Linked DNA regions of Macaca mulatta. The protein of the gene in region 1 purifies or fractionates together with the protein of each later gene. This does not show direct contact. Links are inferred from orthologs where the notes say so. Each region holds a gene or a part of one and is shown on either strand. Other genes may lie near its edges.

Region 1 (4,419 bases):
AAGACACTGTAGGTAGCATTATAGACTATATTCCTTTTTTACTGGGTATTTATATATGTATATGAGGAAGGGTTTGGTTGCTCAAATGTTACTGTATTACAAACTCCTTGAGAGCAGAGGTCGTGATATATCTTGAGGTTTTTTTGGTGGCTACCATACAGAGATATTTTAATCAATAATTATGATATCAATGCTTAATGTGACAGGCTTATTCAGAGATCTCACTCAACAGAGAAATTCCCTGAGAATATTACCACATTTAATGTAAATGTTAACATTTAGAGACCATTGTTAGCAGGTATATTTGCTTGATTACTATAAAATTGTGATTTTCTTTCTCTCTCACATGATCACACATTTTTCACATTAATCTGAAACTCTAGTAAGAGACTTTGTTAATACAGATTGTGCTTTTATTTCTATTCTAATCATATCCTGAAAGTAGTTGTATGTAATGTATTCACTTATGAGGGTTTGTTGAACTTTCCTTTGAATATTGACTTTAATCTTCATGAGACCTCTGTTATATAGCCAAAATATTCCTGAATTCTAGAAACAAAATACCTCTCTTTTGTAATATTCTCAAAATGGCACTTTTGAAGATCTGTGCTTGTGACCCAGTCTTTATAGAATTTGGCTTTTCTTATTGATTATTTGGTGCTGTACTCTTAGAAATATTGTGCCTTTATGCCAAAGAGACCACAGATTATGATAAAAGAATATTCAACAGATGCTTTTCTCTTAATTCCACTACTTATATTTTTCTTCTGGAAGGACACAACGATGTCTTAGTAAAATGGGCATTTCTGAATTTATCGTATCATTTAAAAAGTGAGCTATGTTTGGGAATCATTTACTTTGACGGAAAAAATGTTTAGTATGTAACTCAACATTCTCCACTTTTGGTCTTCATACTCACACATATTATATTTATATATATGTTGTGGCTGGGCAATGAATGCAGGAAAAACTGAGATTTGACTTGGAAGAGAGAGTGCCTCATACACATCATCCATCTCCTGTCCCCCTTATGTTTATTTACATGAAGTTTTATTTTAAAACAAAGTCTCACTTTCTATTTGGATAATCTCATTTGATATTTTCTTTGGGTAGTAGAAACATTTTTTCCACTTAAGCTTGAATATTGACTGACTAAAGTGAATCTGAATTTCTGACTTTTAAAACTATTCAAAAGATATAAAAGAAAAAGTTCCATTGTGATTCACAAAATAGAGAAAAAAGTGATGAATAAAAGTGTTCAATTCACATGTTGCTGCAAAATTTATTGAAACCTATTTATTTTAGAATTCTTTATAATATTTTTTCAATATTTCTAGGAAAAAAACATGTCATTCTCTAGGACAGGGTCATAGGGTGAGTGCACTTTCTCTGTAAAGGAAAAGATAGTAAATATTTTCAATTTTTCAAGCTGTATGGTCTCAACTCTGCTATTATAGGCTGAAATCAGCCATAGGCAATACTTCATGAATGGGCAGTACTTCATGAATAGGCATTTTTAACTTATAGATAAAGAAAGCTTTATCTACAAGAAAGGCTTGTGGCTGGACGCGGTGACTCACGCCTCTAAACCTAGCACTTTGGGAGGCTGAGGCAGGCAGATCCGTAGGTCAGGAGTTCTAGACAAGCCTGACCAACATGGTGAAACCCCATCTCTACTAAAAATACAAAAATTAGTTGGGCATGGTGGCGCACGCCCATAATCCCAGCTACTCAGGAGGCTGAGGCTGGAGAATCGTTTGAACCCGAGAGGTGGAGGTTGCAGTGAGCCAAGATCGTGCCACTGCATTCCAGCCTGGGCCACAGAGTGAGACTCCATCCCCCCCGCCAAAAAAAAAAAAAAAAAGGCGGGGGGAAGGGGGGAAGGATGGCATTGGGAGTTATACCTGATGTAAATGACGAGTTGATGGGTACTGACGAGTTGATGGGTGCAGCACACCAACATGGCACATGTATACATATGTAACAAACCTGCACACTGTGAACATGTACCCTAGAACTTAAAGTATAATTAAAAAAGAAAAAGAAAAAAAGAAAAAAAAAAGGCTTGCAGTTTGGGTTGGCAGACATGGTCCAGGGTTTTCCAACTTCTGTTCTAGATGGTAGGCCTCTAATGGACAACGTGGGATAAACAGGAAGCAGAAAGGTAAATTGTGTAGGAAAGGAGTCCTGGGATTTATTTCCACCTCCTTATTAAGGGTAGAACCTTGGATACTTCTGCACATTTTTTTGCCAAGCAAAACATTATCTTCATTTTTAAGAATTCTATTGTATTCATAAAGATTATAATTTACAGAAAACCCTTTAGTCTTCTTTTATGGTCACAACAGAGGCATCCTCAAACAGAGGATTGTTTTTCAATGATATTTTCATCCTTGTTATACATTTATTAAAAGAGAAATGTGAAATAGTGTTAATGATCAATATACTTTTGGAACCCCTTCTGTAGAATGGGTACAGTATTGATAAAGATGGTAATCAACAGAGTGTAAGAAATCTAGACTTAAAATAGTATGGTTCTCCACACCCCCATGTTTCTGGTTAAGAATGAATAAGAACCAATTCTTTGAAAAATCCTAAAATCAGTCTATTCTAATTACAGGTCAAACACAGAACTTTAAAGACGCCTTTTCAGGAAGAGATTCAAGTATTACGCGGTTGCCACTGGCTTTTTATTATGGGATGTACGCATATGCTGGCTGGTAAGTCGATAGCTCCAGATCTGGTGGTTTATGTAGTTCATTAATCCCATTATGCACTCATATTAAGTGCCAACCAAGGTGCCAGGCAAATGTGAATAGGCATAATCCACATAATAGTAATAAGGTATTGTCCCCTCCACCAGGCCAATTACTTTGCACATGACAACTACAAACATAACAGGTTTCCAGTCAAGACTGCTAGATTTAGCCTGATGTCATAAAAAACAAACAAATGCTGGGTCTTAAGATCCAATAAAAATTACTTATAAGTATGTACCAGTAAGGACATAATAGTTCCGTAAGGTACTAGAGAATAATACTTCGCTTGTCAAAAGGCCTTTCAGCTAAAGCTCCAAGGGTATTTACAAATAGTGATTAATTGATTTCTTTTTTCCAGCTTCTCATGAGAGAAGTAACTCAGATGTAGAAATAAGTATGACATTCCCAGAAGGTAATGGTCATCTAAAGGCAGAGAAAGAGAAACCAAGATAATGCAGTCAACTCTGCTAGACAGTCTACATTTAAAAGGACCTTACATGTCCCTTAAAATTTCCCCAACATCTGAAAATTTAAAAAATAAAGATGATTAAAATCATGATGCCACAGATATATTTCCTTTGATGTATGTCCACCTGTGATACCTACCTTTCTAGTTAAGGCATTAAAACTTTGTACTTGTACCTTGTTTGTTCAGATACTTGAAAACCAGTAATCATGGATAAGAGTGGGACTTTTTCTTCAGTAAATTTTATTGACCTTGTAAGATTTAGTTTAGATGATGGTTGCAAGAAAACCTACACGGTATTATTTAATTATCAAAATCATTATAGTACGATTAAATTTCATTGTTTTGGGGTAAATCATGGCAATATTTATTTTTAAATTGTCTATAAATCTCATTGTTATACAGCTTTAGCTGTGAGAATGATGTAATATTAGGAAACTACACTAGCTCAAAAATTATATGAATGCATTTCCAACACAAATATAATTTCTTTTGTGTCTTTAGTTTTTAAGATCTTACCTTCTAGCCAATGCGCGGAACATAGATATATTTCAACATGAATGGAGTGTTTACCCTATTAATCTCATTGAATTATGAAAATATAGTATTAGAGGATAATTAGGGAGTATGGGAACTTAAAATCTTAACATGGCCTGTGAGGCAAAAATACGTTTGAAGATTGTTAGAAGATTATAGCTCTAAGGAGATCAGTGTAAAATATTTGTATATTCCCAGAATATTTTTATACCCATTATATGTAAGCATTAGTTTAGAATCACTCAATATTTTTGAAGTCTTTTTGCTTTTGTCCCAAGCACAATGTGGTGCTAGACATCAAAAGAACTGAGCGTGATCACAGGGTTAAAGCAGAATCAACTGTTCTATGGCTATTCAGCCTGGATCAGAGCTCTGTGCCCTGGGGCTGAAGCCAAGCTACTGGGAGGGTCACTGGGAGACACCAGAGCAAAGCAGGGAGGTAGAGAAAGCTTTCAGCTACAGCCAAGTGTTGGGAGCCGGGCAAGATGCAATCACGAGTGTGGAATGTGAAGATAGTCACAAGGGAGATTTGATTAATTCTGTTGAATGAAATTTCTTTTGCCTGCGAGTACCATAGATCTGTTCCCATGCAATCTTAAAATATTCTTTTGCCCTCCTTACTTTTCTAATAGCCAGAACTAAAAATTCAGGTCACTT
Region 2 (5,084 bases), on another chromosome or scaffold:
GGCTGCCAGCCTCCCACACACGGACTTGTCACCATGCCTTTGCAGGAAGTAGATGTCCAATGTGTGAATGGGGAATACCTCAATTAATCAATGCTAGCCCCAACAGAGATGAAGCTTTGCCTCTTTGCTTCTTCACATGGGAAAACACAGCCAAAGTTCTAACTCCCCGCAAGGGGCGGAGTCTCTAATGCTCAATTAGAGAGAAAAGAGCAGAAAGGTATGTGCCAACCCCAAGCCCCAGGACTCTCAGACGTTCACCTCTTTCTCAACACCAGGCATGCAATTCCCAAGCAAAGAGCCCCTCGCCCACAGAGAAAAGGAGATGCGTGTGAATGAAGGACTCATCCCTGCTGGCCTCCGCCAAGGGTCACTTTCTTCCTCCTACACAGGACCCCTAATTCAAGATATCTGTTCCCCAACTCAGAGTTTCTGGGTCCAATGTCACTTAACTACATTTGGCCATTTCTCCACTTTTTGCTTTCCCATACAAAGACTGGATCCCCTTCTCTTCCCGAAAGCCTTGCTCCTTTCCAAAGTTTCCTCTTGGTTGTCCAGAGTCCACCACTCCCCAGAATGGGGCAACAAGAGCTCCTTTCCTTCCCCCTTCCTCCTTCTCCCTCCCGCCACCCACCCCATGCCCAGCCCCAAGCCCTGTGACAAAGTCATGTCTCCTTTCCAAGTCTCAGTTCCTGCCAAACAACTTTACAAGCACATGAAAGTGAGGGCCGGGGCAGTTATTGCTACTGGCACTTCATTGTGCTTCCTCTAAATGATGCTGCACAAAGGGGCCGTGGAAACTCGGGGCAGGAGGGAGCCTGCCGGTCTCCGGGAGAACCTCAAGGGTTAGGACGTGCCAAATATTTGGAGGTGGGGCCCTTTAGAAGAATCAGGGAGACAAGTTGGAAGGAGTCAGGAGTCAGAAAGCCCAAAGACAAAGCAGAAGATGGCACTGGTAGGTAACATACAAATAAACTTCCCTAGAGGCCATAGGGAAACCACCAGGGCCCTCTTCTCTGAGGCCAGGCCCAGGGCTCTCCCTGATCTCCAACTTGACTCTTCTCTCCCATCCTGAGTGTTTCCACTTTTCAAGGGCTTATTTGAACTCCAGTCCCTTTTGGAACTTTCCCTAAGGCCTAGAGTCCACCAAAATCCTTTCCTCCTTGAATCCTTTCCAAGTTTGTCCATCTTATACAGTCTAACATATTATAAGCCTAGGCTTTGGAGCTCAGTGCAGCTGGGTTTCCATCCAGCACTGCTCCTGGCTATGTGAATGCCAGCAAGTCACTTAACCTCTCTAAGCATCAGTTTTCCTCCTGTCAAACAGGCCTGATAACAGGAAGCTTCTTACTAGGCCATTGTGAGGGGAGAATGAGATAACACATGGAAAGGATTTAACATAATGCCTGGCACAGTGAAAATATACAGTACATGGTAGCTAGTGCTGTATTGCTTTTTTTTTTTAACAGAGTCATGCTCTGTCACCCAGGCTGGCTCACTGCAACCTTAGCCTCCTGGGTTCAAGCAATTCTCCTGCCTCAGCGTCCCAAGGAGCTGGGACTACAGGTTTGTACCACCACACTGCTAATTTTTGTATTTTTTGTAAGATGGGGTTTCACCATGTTGGCCAAGGCTGGTCTCGAACTCCTGACCTCAGGAAATTTGCTGCCTCAGCCTCCCAAAGTCCCGGAATTAGAGGCATGAGCCACCATGACCGGCTGTGTTATTGCTGTCATTATTATTACTATTTCAGCTTCAGTAGTATAAATCCTAGATCCCCAAATCCCCACCTAGTAATGACCTCCTACTCACACAGAAAGGGAGATGCATGTGCACAAAGAACTCATCCTGCCTAGCCTCTACCTAGGGTCACTTTCTTCCTACTGCAGAAAGTAGGAAGATACAGAAAGCAGAAAGTAATTCAAGACAAGTTATACTGGGTACGCAATCTAAAGTAACCAGGTGGGACTGCGTTTCACTTTCTCAGTACCCCCGTGGAACTGGGTTAATAAATATTTGCTGAGTAGAATTTACTGCATGCAGGTTGAGCTGTCTTAATGACCCAGCTGGCACTTCTTAAGAGAAAAATTAATTTTGGCCAGCGATAAGCGAATTGGCTGTGTAATTATCTGTACATATATAGACAAAGAAAGAGAATGCTTGGAATTGAGCCGTGCTAGAATATACCTTACACGCAGCCCCTCCCCTTCATAGCACTGACCCTATTGGGATGAGATATTGGAGTCCTAGCCCCAGTGTCCCTGATGTCGCGCTGGTATCAAGGCTCTTCTCTCTGCTCTGAGGCTGCCAGGCAGGGAATATGAGCCACGTTACCGTTGAGATTTCCCCCACACTGATTGGCAGAAGCAGGAGGTAGCAAGGACCAAGCAGCTGGTGCAGTGGTTGCCTCTCCTATTCATGCTCCCTGTCCCAGGCTGGAATCTCATGGAGACCCAAGACTTCACCGCAGAGCTGGTTCAGGCTTCCACAGCGCTAAGGTGGCAGTGGCAGTGCGGACTGTAAGCTTTGGAACAATGCTCAGTGGGTAGTTGGGAGAACCCAGGACCCCTTTCTGGAAAACCCATTGCCAGCCAGTCTCACACTTGCAATTGTGACCCCTTCTGTGACCACCTTGGTAACCGCCATTCGCCCTTTTCTAGCCCCAGTTCCTGCCCCGCCTAGCTCTGCCCTGCCTAGACACAGCCCGGTGGGGCTTGACGAGCCCTTGGGCACAGGAGCCTGTTAGTCCAGACACTGACTGAGCGCATCCAGGAGAACGGTTACTTTCTGCCATGTGCTCTAGCTCTAGCGACCTCGCCCAAAACTGCGTGCCGGCAGCCTGCCCAACAAACTTTCTTCTCTTTCTCTTTTTCTTTCAACCAAACGGTGCTTCCACAGACACATTCTCCAACGGTTTAGCGCAATCCCAGCCCTGCTTTCCGGAGCCCAAAGCACTTCGCAGGCAACTCACTTGACTCCAGTCCCCCAGCGCCGACTCAGCCGGAGGGGCTACCTCCGGGTCCGCGCTGCGCACCCCGCACCCATCTTGCTGCCCAGGATGCGGCGGGCACTCACCGATCTGCGCCAGGCTCAGCTGCAAGAGGCAGAGTCCCCAGGCTGCGTGCCACCGAAACTTGTCCATGGTGTCCAGAGAGAACGGAGGGCGCGGGGGAAAGGGGCTGGAGGATCCCTGAGCGCGGGGCAGGGGCCGGTGGAGGACGGGACGAGGATGGCGGACCGAACCTGGCAGAGGCTGGGGTCCGCTGGGCAATGAGGCTGCCTCGGAAGTTGGCTGCAGTTTTTATTCGAGGTTTAAAGTGACCTAAGACGGAGGGAGGGAGCGAGCGAAGGACACACCCAAGCGAGGGGGGCTGTGACTAAGCAGCCGGCAGAGGTTTAAAGAAGTAGCAGCCCTCCTGGGCGGGCCCCTCTGCCTCCGCCCCGTGCTCTGCTGAGGTTGTAAATAATCGGGGCTTCCGTGGACGTGGGTCGGGGAACCTGGAGTGTCGCGGGGTGCTTGTGCCTCCGAACCCCACCGGCCCCTGCGACCCGGGACGCACTGGCTTTCTTCTCCCGCTGGCCCCGAGACGTCAGGACAGAGGATGACTGCATCATAAAAGCTTGCACCGTTGGGTTCAGCCTTTGGCCTCTCTTTTCCCGCTAAATTTCTCTTTGAATCCGACTGGAGAAAGATCTCTGGGTTACACAGGTAGTTGGATATCCTGGGAGAGGAGCTGGAGACAGGGCGAGGTCTTGCCCTGGGTGGCGCAGTGCCTCCATGCCCACAGTGGGGAGTGAGGGGTGGGGAGTTGGTGAATCTTCTAGGTGGAAAGAGGGAGAGCTCATTCTTTTCCCCCTCAAAAACAAGTGAAGTCCACATGGCTTGAATAAGTTTTTGCTTCTTGGCAGAACAGCTCAGGGAAAGCTACTGATGGCCGGTCATAGGGCTGGCATTTGGCTCGGCTAACCCATGTGTTCAAGCCAGTGGGTGTGGGCACCTCTCTCCACACACATGCTCACTCATCTTCCTAAATACCCTTCCATCCACCCATCCATCTATCCACCCATCTTTCCTTATGTCTTTCCGGGACTCTCGCATCCATGCATCTTCTTGTCCATCCACTAACCACTTAGGTCCATCCATCATCCCATTCATTCATTAATTCTTCCAGCCACACATCTTTTAATTTATTCATACACCTATTCTTCTATTCATCTTCCCATACAACTTCTCAATCATCATTCCACACTTCCTTTTTCACATCTCTTCATAAACCCACAACCATCCACCATCCTCTTCTCCACCCATCCACCCACATATCTGTTTATTGATATATCCACTCATTTCCCATCTGTCCATGATCAACATATCCACCTGTCATTTTATCCATTCTCTCATCCACCCATACATTCATCTGTTATTTTTTGCCCCCATTATCCTCCTTTCTGTATAAACATTAATTCATTTTCTCCCACCTCTTCTATCCAGCAGATCTTAAAGAGAGGAAGAGATTGTAATATTCTTCAGGGGAAGCCTTTTGAGATTGAAATATCATACTTTGAATGATAACTCTATATCTACCTATAATACACTATGGTTTAATGTTTGGAAATCAAACACAGTATTTATTTTTCATGTGAACTACTAAAAGTAAATCTGCAAGGACTTCTTGCCTGGTGAGTTGCACAGAAAATGAAAGTCATTATCAGTGGCTGTGGCAAGACTGAAGGAACCATGCCAGAACTTCTGAGGGAAGGTAAGATTTTGTTATTTATTTCAAGAAATTGAAAAGTTGAGAGAAATGCACCCAACTATCCACCTATGCATTCATTCGTCAAACATGTAATGAGTGTTGTGGGGTATCAAGGTAAACGAGACCTGGCGCTATCTCCAGGGCCTTCACCCTCTGGTAGGGAAACTAACTCACAAGCAGGCCTTTACCATGCAAGGTGAAATATGTTGCAAAATATGTGTGTTCAGGGTGCTACCGTTCCTAGAGAAGGGAGTCACACTGTCTCCTGGAGAACACCAGAAAGTCTTCACAGGGGAAGTGATATTTGAGGCAGACCTCAAAGGAGGAGGAGGA

The links. Proteins that work in one complex are often made in the same cells at the same time.
Region 2: the proteins of SLC7A11 (region 1) and CD44 purify together in Homo sapiens (affinity purification with western blotting; 3 studies listed by BioGRID and IntAct, with this or other methods). This does not show direct contact. The link is inferred for Macaca mulatta from reciprocal best matches to the Homo sapiens genes SLC7A11 and CD44.

The regions. Positions count from the first base shown.
Region 1 is NC_133410.1:147,080,878-147,085,296, reverse strand, and holds part of SLC7A11 (cystine/glutamate transporter), read left to right. Parts: intron 1-2,620; coding exon 2,621-2,720; intron 2,721-4,419. UniProt on the Homo sapiens protein: Heterodimer with SLC3A2, that functions as an antiporter by mediating the exchange of extracellular anionic L-cystine and intracellular L-glutamate across the cellular plasma membrane.
Region 2 is NC_133419.1:30,145,412-30,150,495, forward strand, and holds the start of CD44 (CD44 antigen), read right to left. Parts: upstream 3,273-5,084; 5' UTR 3,140-3,272; coding exon 3,073-3,139; intron 1-3,072. UniProt on the Homo sapiens protein: Cell-surface receptor that plays a role in cell-cell interactions, cell adhesion and migration, helping them to sense and respond to changes in the tissue microenvironment.